Nothobranchius furzeri: one gene and its partner. The protein of the gene in region 1 purifies or fractionates together with the protein of each later gene. This does not show direct contact. Links are inferred from orthologs where the notes say so. Each region holds a gene or a part of one and is shown on either strand. Other genes may lie near its edges.

Region 1 (3,818 bases):
TGACCGAAAGAACGAGATCGTGGATACAAGCGGCCGAAATGAGTTTCCTCCGTAGGGTGGCCGGGCTCAGCCTTAGAGATAGGGTGAGGAGCTCGGACATTCGGGAGGGACTCGGAGTAGAACCGCTGCTCCTCCGGATCGAAAGGAGCCAGTTGAGGTGGTTTGGGCATCTGGTCAGGATGCCTCCTGGACGCCTCCCTGGGGAGGTGTTTCGGGCATGTCCTGCCGGCAGAAGGCCCCCGGGTCGACCCAGGACACGTTGGAGAAGTTACATCTCCAATCTGGTCCGGGAACGCCTTGGGGTCCTGCCGGAGGAGCTGGTGGACAAGGCCGGGGAGAGGACGGCCTGGAGCTCCCTAGTTGGGATGCTGCCCCCGCGACCCGGACCCGGATAAGCGGAGGAAGACGAGACGACGAGACTGTCGCTGCATGCTTGCTTAGTATGAGGATTGCTGTAAAGACTCTTGACGCTAGTCAGTGACTCGATGCAACCTGCTGGGTTCCTTCTATAGGAAACCTTTTACTGATTGGCTTAATGGCCTGACCTGTATTGGAGTGTTTACTGTGTAAAGGTCCTTGAGACGACTCTGGTCCTGATTTGGCGCTAAAGAAATAAACTGAACTGCACTGAATTGAAACGTTGTAATGACCCCTCCAGCAGACTGTAAGATAGGTGTGTATTTAGTTGACGCTCGTCTTTCAGGTTAAAGTCAGAATCAGTCTCTGTGTTCTGGAAGGTTCTGCAGACTGAAACATGTTGACAGACAGAAGAGAAATAAAAGCTCCAAACTCCCACAGCTTCATCAAGCATCTGCAGCCCGGTGAACTGTCCCTAATAGAGATGTAAGAAAATATTGATAGGGCAATATATCGCAATATTTTTTCTTGTGATATTATATCGATAATCAAAAGCCATGTAGTGAATTTTTGGAAGAATTTACATGCAAGCATTTGTGTATTTTCTTTTCTTTTGATGCAATTCAAACGCCGACCGCTAACTGGCAAAAGTGTGCACTGGGTTTTGTTTCCACCACTGAAATGTGAATCCCTCTTTTATGGTTCAGATACCTCATACTTAACATGTTACCTATCAGTTTGGACTGTTTGTTGAATTTTCCCACAACAAATTCAGTCTAAAAACATTGCTAATAATGTCTGACTGAATGACTGAATACATCGTGATGCATCGTATCATCTCCACTGTATCGTGATATCACCAAAGTTTCACATCCTAGTCCCTAATCAAGTGGGTTGAGCCTGCACTCACCATGGTAATGGACTGTGCTCAGGATTTCTAACTTACAAATACAGTCAGGTCCATAGAAATTGGGACATCGACACAATGCTAACATTTTTGGCTCTATACACCACCACAATGGATTTCAAATGAAACGAACAAGATGTGCTTTAACTGCAGACTATCAGCTTTTATTTGAGGATATTTACATCCAAATCAGGTGAACGGTGTAGGAATTGCAGCAGTTTGCGTATGTGCCTCCCACTTGTTAAGGGACCAAATGTAATGGGACAATTGACTTCTCAGCTGTTCCATGGCTAGGCGTGTGTTATTCCATCATTATCCCAATGACAATGAGCAGATAAAAGGTCCAGAGTTCATTTCAAGTGTGCTATTTGCATTTGGAATCTGTTGCTGTCAACTGTCAAGATGAGATCCAAAGAGCTGTCACTATCAGTGAAGCAAGCCATCATTAGACTGAACAAACAAAAGAAACCTATCAGAGAGATAGCAAAAACATTAGGCATGGCCCAAACAACCGTTTGGAACATTCTCAAAAATAAGGAACGCACCAATGAGCTCAGCAACACCAAAAGACCCGGAAGACCACGGAAAACAGCTGTGGTGGATGACCGAAGAATCCTTTCCCTGGTGAAGAAAACACCCTTCACAACAGCTGGTCAGATCAAGAACACTCTCCAGGAGGTAGGTGTGTCTGTGTCAAAGTCAACAATCAAGAGAAGAGTCCACCAGTGTGAATACAGAGGCTTCACCACAAGATGTAAACCATTGGTGAGCCCCAAAAACAGGAAGGCCAGATTAGAGTTTGCCAAACAACATCTAAAAAACCCTTCACAGTTCTGGAACAACATCCTACGGACAGATGAGACCAAGATCAACTTGTACCAGAGTGATGGGAAGAGAAGAGTATGGAGATGGAAAAGAACTTCTCATGATCTCAAGCATACCACCTCATCAGTGAAGCACGGTGCTGGAAGTGTCATGGCGTGGGCATGTATGGCTGCCAGTGGAACTGGTTCTCTTGTTTTTATTGATGATGTGACTGCTGACAAAAGCATCACAATGAATTCTGAAGTGTTTGGGGCAATATTATCTGCTCATATTCAGCCAAATGCCTCAGAACTCAATGGACGGCACTTCACAGTGCAGATGGACAATGACCAAAAGCATACTGAAAAAGCAACCAAAGAGTTTTTGAAGGGAAAGAAGTGGACTGTTTTGCAATGGCCAAGTCAGTCACCTGACCTGAATCCGATTGAGCATGCATTTCACTTGCTGAAGACAAAACTGAAGGGAACATGCCCCAGGAACAAGCAGGAACTGAAGACTGTTGCAGTAGAGGCCTGGCAGAACATCACCAGGTATGAAACCCAACGTCTGGTGATGTCTATGTGTTCCAGACTTCAGGCTGTAATTGACTGCAAAGGATTTGCAACCAAGTATTGAAATGTATAAGTCTGATTTATGGTTCTTATTCTGTCCCATTACTTTTGGATCCTTAACAAGTGGGAGGCACATATGCAAACTGTTGTAATTCCTACACCGTTCACCTGATTTGGATGTAAATACCCTCAAATAAAAGCTGACAGTCTGCAGTTAAATCACATCTTGTTCGTTTCATTTGATATCCATTGTGGTGGTGTATAGAGCCAAAGATGTTAGCATTGTGTCGATGCCCCAATATCTACGGACCTGACTGTATGTGGCTGTTTTTACGGACGGGGGTGTGCAGTTAGTGCTGATATGTGACACACTGACAGGTTACTACCTGAACCTTCAACCTGCTCAGGCACACAGGTGAGTCCAGCTCTGCCTCCAATAGGTCAGCGGGGTATATGACGTAACACAACATCAGCTCCTGACGAACACACACAGATTAGCATCAGTAGAGTCAGAATAATGGCCATGTATGACGGCACAAACCTGGCAGGACATTACCTTGGAGACGTTTGCTGTGATCCTGCTGAGAGCGGCCAGAGAACGCCATGAAAACGGACGCAGAGCCATGCCCCTGAATGTTTCATCTGTCCTTTCAACTACCACGGAATAACTACAGGAAGAGAACAGGGACAATCTGAGGGACACGGAGGACACCAGAATATTGGGAGCAGTTAAGTGTAAGAAATGAAGATATGGGTCCTGTAAATAGAGGAAATATGTTTAGTCACTGAGGAGGAGTTAGGAAGCTCGTAGGACCCCAGTTCAGACCGTAACTGGACAGGGACGAGTCATAGGAACAGGTTCATCATCTACCAGGACATGGATCACTCGGTTCCAGCAACAGAGAACAAATAAAAATGTATTGGAAAAAAAATCTATTCACTTATGAGAGATGGTAAAATTATCTCCGTCAATCATACGAGTGTAGATCTGCAGACTAAACCATCATTTATTCCAGAGGCCAAACTCCTACAGCTACTGGCAGACTCTGTGTGTGTGTGTGTGTGTGTGTGTGTGTGTGTGTGTGTGTGTGTGTGTGTGTGTGTGTGTGTGTGTGTGTGTGTGTGTGTGTGTGTGTGTGTGTGTGTGTGTGTGTGTGTGTGTGTGTGTGTGTGTGTGT
Region 2 (4,290 bases), on another chromosome or scaffold:
TCCTTCAGGGCCACCGTCCCTGGAGGTGATTGGAGGATGTTGGTGGTGTTCTGCGTTGTGATTGGCCAGAGAGTCAGTTATGCATCCGTGTGTTCCAGAAACTGAAGGCCATCGATGAGCTGAAGGAGCAACAGGCGTCTGGGAAAGTTCTGCAGAAGAACCAGGTCTGGAAGGTTCTGCAAAAGCAGTGTAGCTGCCTTTAGAACCACGCCCTCCTGTAACCGTAGATAATGCGTTACCCTGTTGAACCAGAATCTGAACCTTGTGTTTCCTGCAGCTGGAGAAGATCCAGAAGGAGGAGCAGCTCCTGGAGGAGCTGCGGGATCTGCAGGTGGGACAGTAGAAGAAGCCACTCAGTCCTTCAGCCACGCCCTCGTCCCATCATGCATCCCTCTTGTACAGCGACCCAGTGAGGAGTGGCGATGTGCTTGGGAGGGTCTGACTGAGCTGACCCAAAGGTCTGGTGGCTCTTCATCAGGGCAGCGGTTTCTAAGGGGCGGGGCTAATCGCTAAGGTGAACTGATTAGACCTGCTTTCGTTCCTACCTGTGGCAGCACCGCCCAGAGGCATTCTGGGAAGTGTAGGCAACAGGAAGTGCAGTGGTTTACAAATCTAAAGACTTTTGTTTTGACAGTGTTCCTTTCATAATAAAAGCCTGACCCTGCTTATTAGCGTCTGTTTGTTTGTTTGTTTTTTTGTCTAAAAAAATACTGAGCGATAGATTCTCTTTTGGACCAGGTCCAGTTCTGTTCTGCTGCAGCACCAGAACACATTTGTCCTCAGATCCTCATGCGTTAGGGTGTACGAGTGAGTGCTGAGTCAAACTGGTTATAATTAAACAACTAGTTTAGATCCGGTGGTTTATTGTTACTGCCTTGAATCGTGTCACCTTATATCTGTGGTGCTTTTATTCATCCAGTCAGTGATGACCCAAATGGCTGAACCTGTCATATAAACTTCACGAAGAACAATAAAACCACATTAATGGTCGTAGTTAGAACAGGCCATAGAAGGTCAGCAACCAAACCTGCTTCAGGGCCCAGGAAGCAGCAAAGCCAGGTTTCCTTTGGGAAAATGATTTTTTACCAACAATTCCTCTACTTGTATGTTGACCTCATGGAACAGGAGTGAGTACAGCTATAGTAGAAACTGGTATTAGTTGGATGGTGATAGGATTTTGTGTCCTTCAAACAAATATAATCAAGGTTGTACTAAAAATACCAGCTGGTTTTTATTAAATCGCATGTCTGCCTAACCTACAGATGGATCTATAGTAGTAGTGAGTTTATTAGAGGTGTTATTAATGCTTATTTAGTAAATATGAATGCCATGACTATTATGTTTTGCTAAAGCAGTTAGGCAGATCTGAACTATCTGAAATAACATTCCAGTTTCCTGACAGTGGATCAGCTGGGAGGAACGTGTGCCTGTGCTGTTAACTTACGCGTTCAATAAAGTTGTAACAAAAGCGAAGCGGTTTACGGCAGGTCGTAAAGCCAAACGCGGAGGAGGCACTTGCTGGTAAGGTAGTTGGTAAAAGGTTGCTCTCCAGTTCGTTCAGGTTCGGTTTCTGAGCAGAACCAGACCAGGACTCGGATTGTCTGAGAGCAGGGTCAGACTGTACCGGTTAGAAAATCCGCAAAGTCTGCGCATGCGTGAGACAGAAAGCCTCGGGTCCATCAGACCGAACCAAAGTGCTAGTTAGTTTGTGTCAACAAACCCTAACTAGTCCTAACCCTAACCTTAATCAGTGGGATTACATAGTAAACTAGCTGCAGGTCAGAGGTCTTGGTCACCCGGGCTCTTATTTACAACAAATACTAACAAACTCAGGATGTTATTATTATTATTATTATTATTATTGGTACCAGATTGTGAATGGAGTCATATTACTCTCTCTCTAGTTACCATGGTGAAATAATTGGTAAATTGCCTCCACTCCTTACCGACAGTAAAGAGGAATCGTTGTGATATCTAGTGATAATGTGCCACCGTACCCTGTATTAATGCTAACTGCAGCACAATGAGGCAGACTTTAGACACTTTTTACTGTTCCTGTGAAATCTCAGTTTTTAGTGCAGATTCATATTTCCTCCTTGAAGCAGCAGCTGATGACGTCACTCACTCTGACCTTAATCTTAATTCTAATAATCGCTGTAAACGTTTGTTCAACCTACAGAAAATTAAAGGCACAATTCAAGTAAAGTGATAAATGGCCTTTATTTATATAGCTCCTTCTGGGGTCCTACAGCCCCCCAAGGTGCTTTACAACATGCCTGTTTACCTGCACATTCACACACTGGTGGTGATGAGCTACATTGTAGCCGCAGCCGGTGTTCTGGGAACTTCTCCTACCCCGTAAACCGTCCTACCTGTTGTTCCTGAGCAACACAAAAAGGAAATGCTACTCCTTTGTCATATTTGCAGGAAAATAGATCAGTAGTAAGTATTAGTACTTTTTATTGACGTTGATACTTGATTTTTTGGGTTAGGGTTAGTGTCATGTAAAACACCGTAAAATTAGCCTATGGGTAGGATGTTTTCTCAGAACACCTTCCTGTGGTGCACTGACGGAGGCCAGCTTGCCGTACATGGGTGCCGTCAGTTCCTCTAACCACCATGAGCGGGGTGGGGGGTGGGGGGGTGTCTTCCCTAGGTACAAAGTTTTTCCGGAACGGCGCTGCTCTGGGTGGCTGCATGTTGGAGTAGCTCTGTTGACTATATGTAAGTTTTGCCTTTTCTTGGGTATTTTTTCTTCTAGTTTCTCAAGAAAAACTGTATTTTTTTGGACACTTTACTTTTCTGTTTCTGGTGCTGTGAAGCTTGGAGGATTTTTACTGCTATTTTTTTAGCTTTTTTCACTTTTTGAGCATTTGTTATGATGCGTAACCACGGCAACAAGCTGGTTTACAATCGGGAGCAGCTGATTAACATGTGAAAGGCTGAAATAATACCTCAGCTGAAGCCAAAAATCCCAAATGAGCTAAAACGCAAGAAGCGTGGATGCAGAGCGGGAGCAAAACGGAGACAGAGAAAGAGGAAATTCAAACCATCTCTTCCATCGATCATAATGGGCAATGTGAGATCACTGGCCAACAAGATGGAGGAACTCCAAGCCCTTTCAAGGACTCAGCCAGAGTTTCGTCAGTTTCGGAACTGCTGGAGGAGATAATGCAAAGAAGGATTCTCCAGAGAATCAAGAAAATGATGGACAACCCTGAGCATTCTCTTCACAAGACTGTCCGACAACGGAAGAGTCTTCAGTCAGAGGCTTCTTCAGTTTGGCTGCAACACTGACCGCTACTGGAGATCCTTCCTGCCAACAGCCGTTGTAATATACAACAACTCTTTGATGACTTGATTATTATTATTATTCTGAGCTACTACAGCAATCAATTTCCCTCTGGGATTAATAAAGTATTTTTGAATTGAAAACGACTGCAATAAACTGAGCGGGAGGCGAACCTGCAACCCTCCAGTTATGGGCATGCCTTTAGCTCCTCACTACCGTTGTTCCAAGTGTCTCATACTAGTGAAATTATGTGGGATAATCCTGGCCTACTCCTAGTTTATTGGTGATTATGTGTTGTTTAAAGAAATCAGATAGTTTACGTGGCTTCGTTCTGATTGGCAGATCCTGCTGATGGAGGACCAGAACCAGGAGAGCTCCGACCCTGTAGTGGCTCTCAGTCTTTGTGACTCCACCCCACTCCTGTGGCGTGCTCAGGACCTGAGGACCGTCAGGTCTCAGAGTGTGGTGGGGGCCCTGCTCGGCTCACTGCCCAGAGCCCCCAGACAGAACCTCAAACTGGGTCGACCACTGCTGCTGCTGCCAGAGGAGGAGAGACTGCTGAGGGAGCGCCACGCTGCGGCCTTTCCTCCACGGAACCAGGTCTGAATGAATGACTTTACTGTCGCTGTGAGATAACGAGTGCCTCTCCCTGTGAGGCACAATCCCAAGAAACATCACACACTACCAACGGTAACAGAAAATACCGGGCAGACTCAAGAAAGCGTCATAATTCAGTCAAATGTCACGAAGGAGGGTGTAAGAATGTTTACACCCCTGTGACATCATACGTAATTTAGACTTTAAATGTTTGTTGCAGAGCCGTAAACTGGTACTGACCTATAGCAGTTCCAACAGCTGGTGGGTGGGATCAGTGGCGGAGCCAGAACGTAGCAAATGGGTGGGCCTAGAAAAATCTGGATGGGCCTAATTAATTTCAAAGCTCATATGAGATGTGCGCCGCGCTCGTGCACGTCAAAATCACGTGTTTTAATAAAATC

Evidence for each region.
Region 2: the proteins of tsen2 (region 1) and tsen34 purify together in Homo sapiens (affinity purification with mass spectrometry; 3 studies listed by BioGRID and IntAct, counting the BioPlex papers as one, with this or other methods). This does not show direct contact. The link is inferred for Nothobranchius furzeri from reciprocal best matches to the Homo sapiens genes TSEN2 and TSEN34.

The regions. Positions count from the first base shown.
Region 1 is NC_091743.1:77,143,231-77,147,048, reverse strand, and holds part of tsen2 (tRNA-splicing endonuclease subunit Sen2), read right to left. Parts: intron 3,309-3,818; coding exon 3,197-3,308; intron 3,117-3,196; coding exon 3,027-3,116; intron 1-3,026.
Region 2 is NC_091753.1:55,691,755-55,696,044, reverse strand, and holds the start of tsen34 (tRNA-splicing endonuclease subunit Sen34), read left to right. Parts: upstream 1-1,235; 5' UTR 1,236-1,521; intron 1,522-2,641; exon of another isoform or gene 2,642-2,724; intron 2,725-3,634; 5' UTR 3,635-3,643; coding exon 3,644-3,892; intron 3,893-4,290. Other genes in the region: eif2a (eukaryotic translation initiation factor 2A), read left to right, coding at 99-164, 278-343. UniProt on the Homo sapiens protein: Constitutes one of the two catalytic subunit of the tRNA-splicing endonuclease complex, a complex responsible for identification and cleavage of the splice sites in pre-tRNA. It cleaves pre-tRNA at the 5'- and 3'-splice sites to release the intron.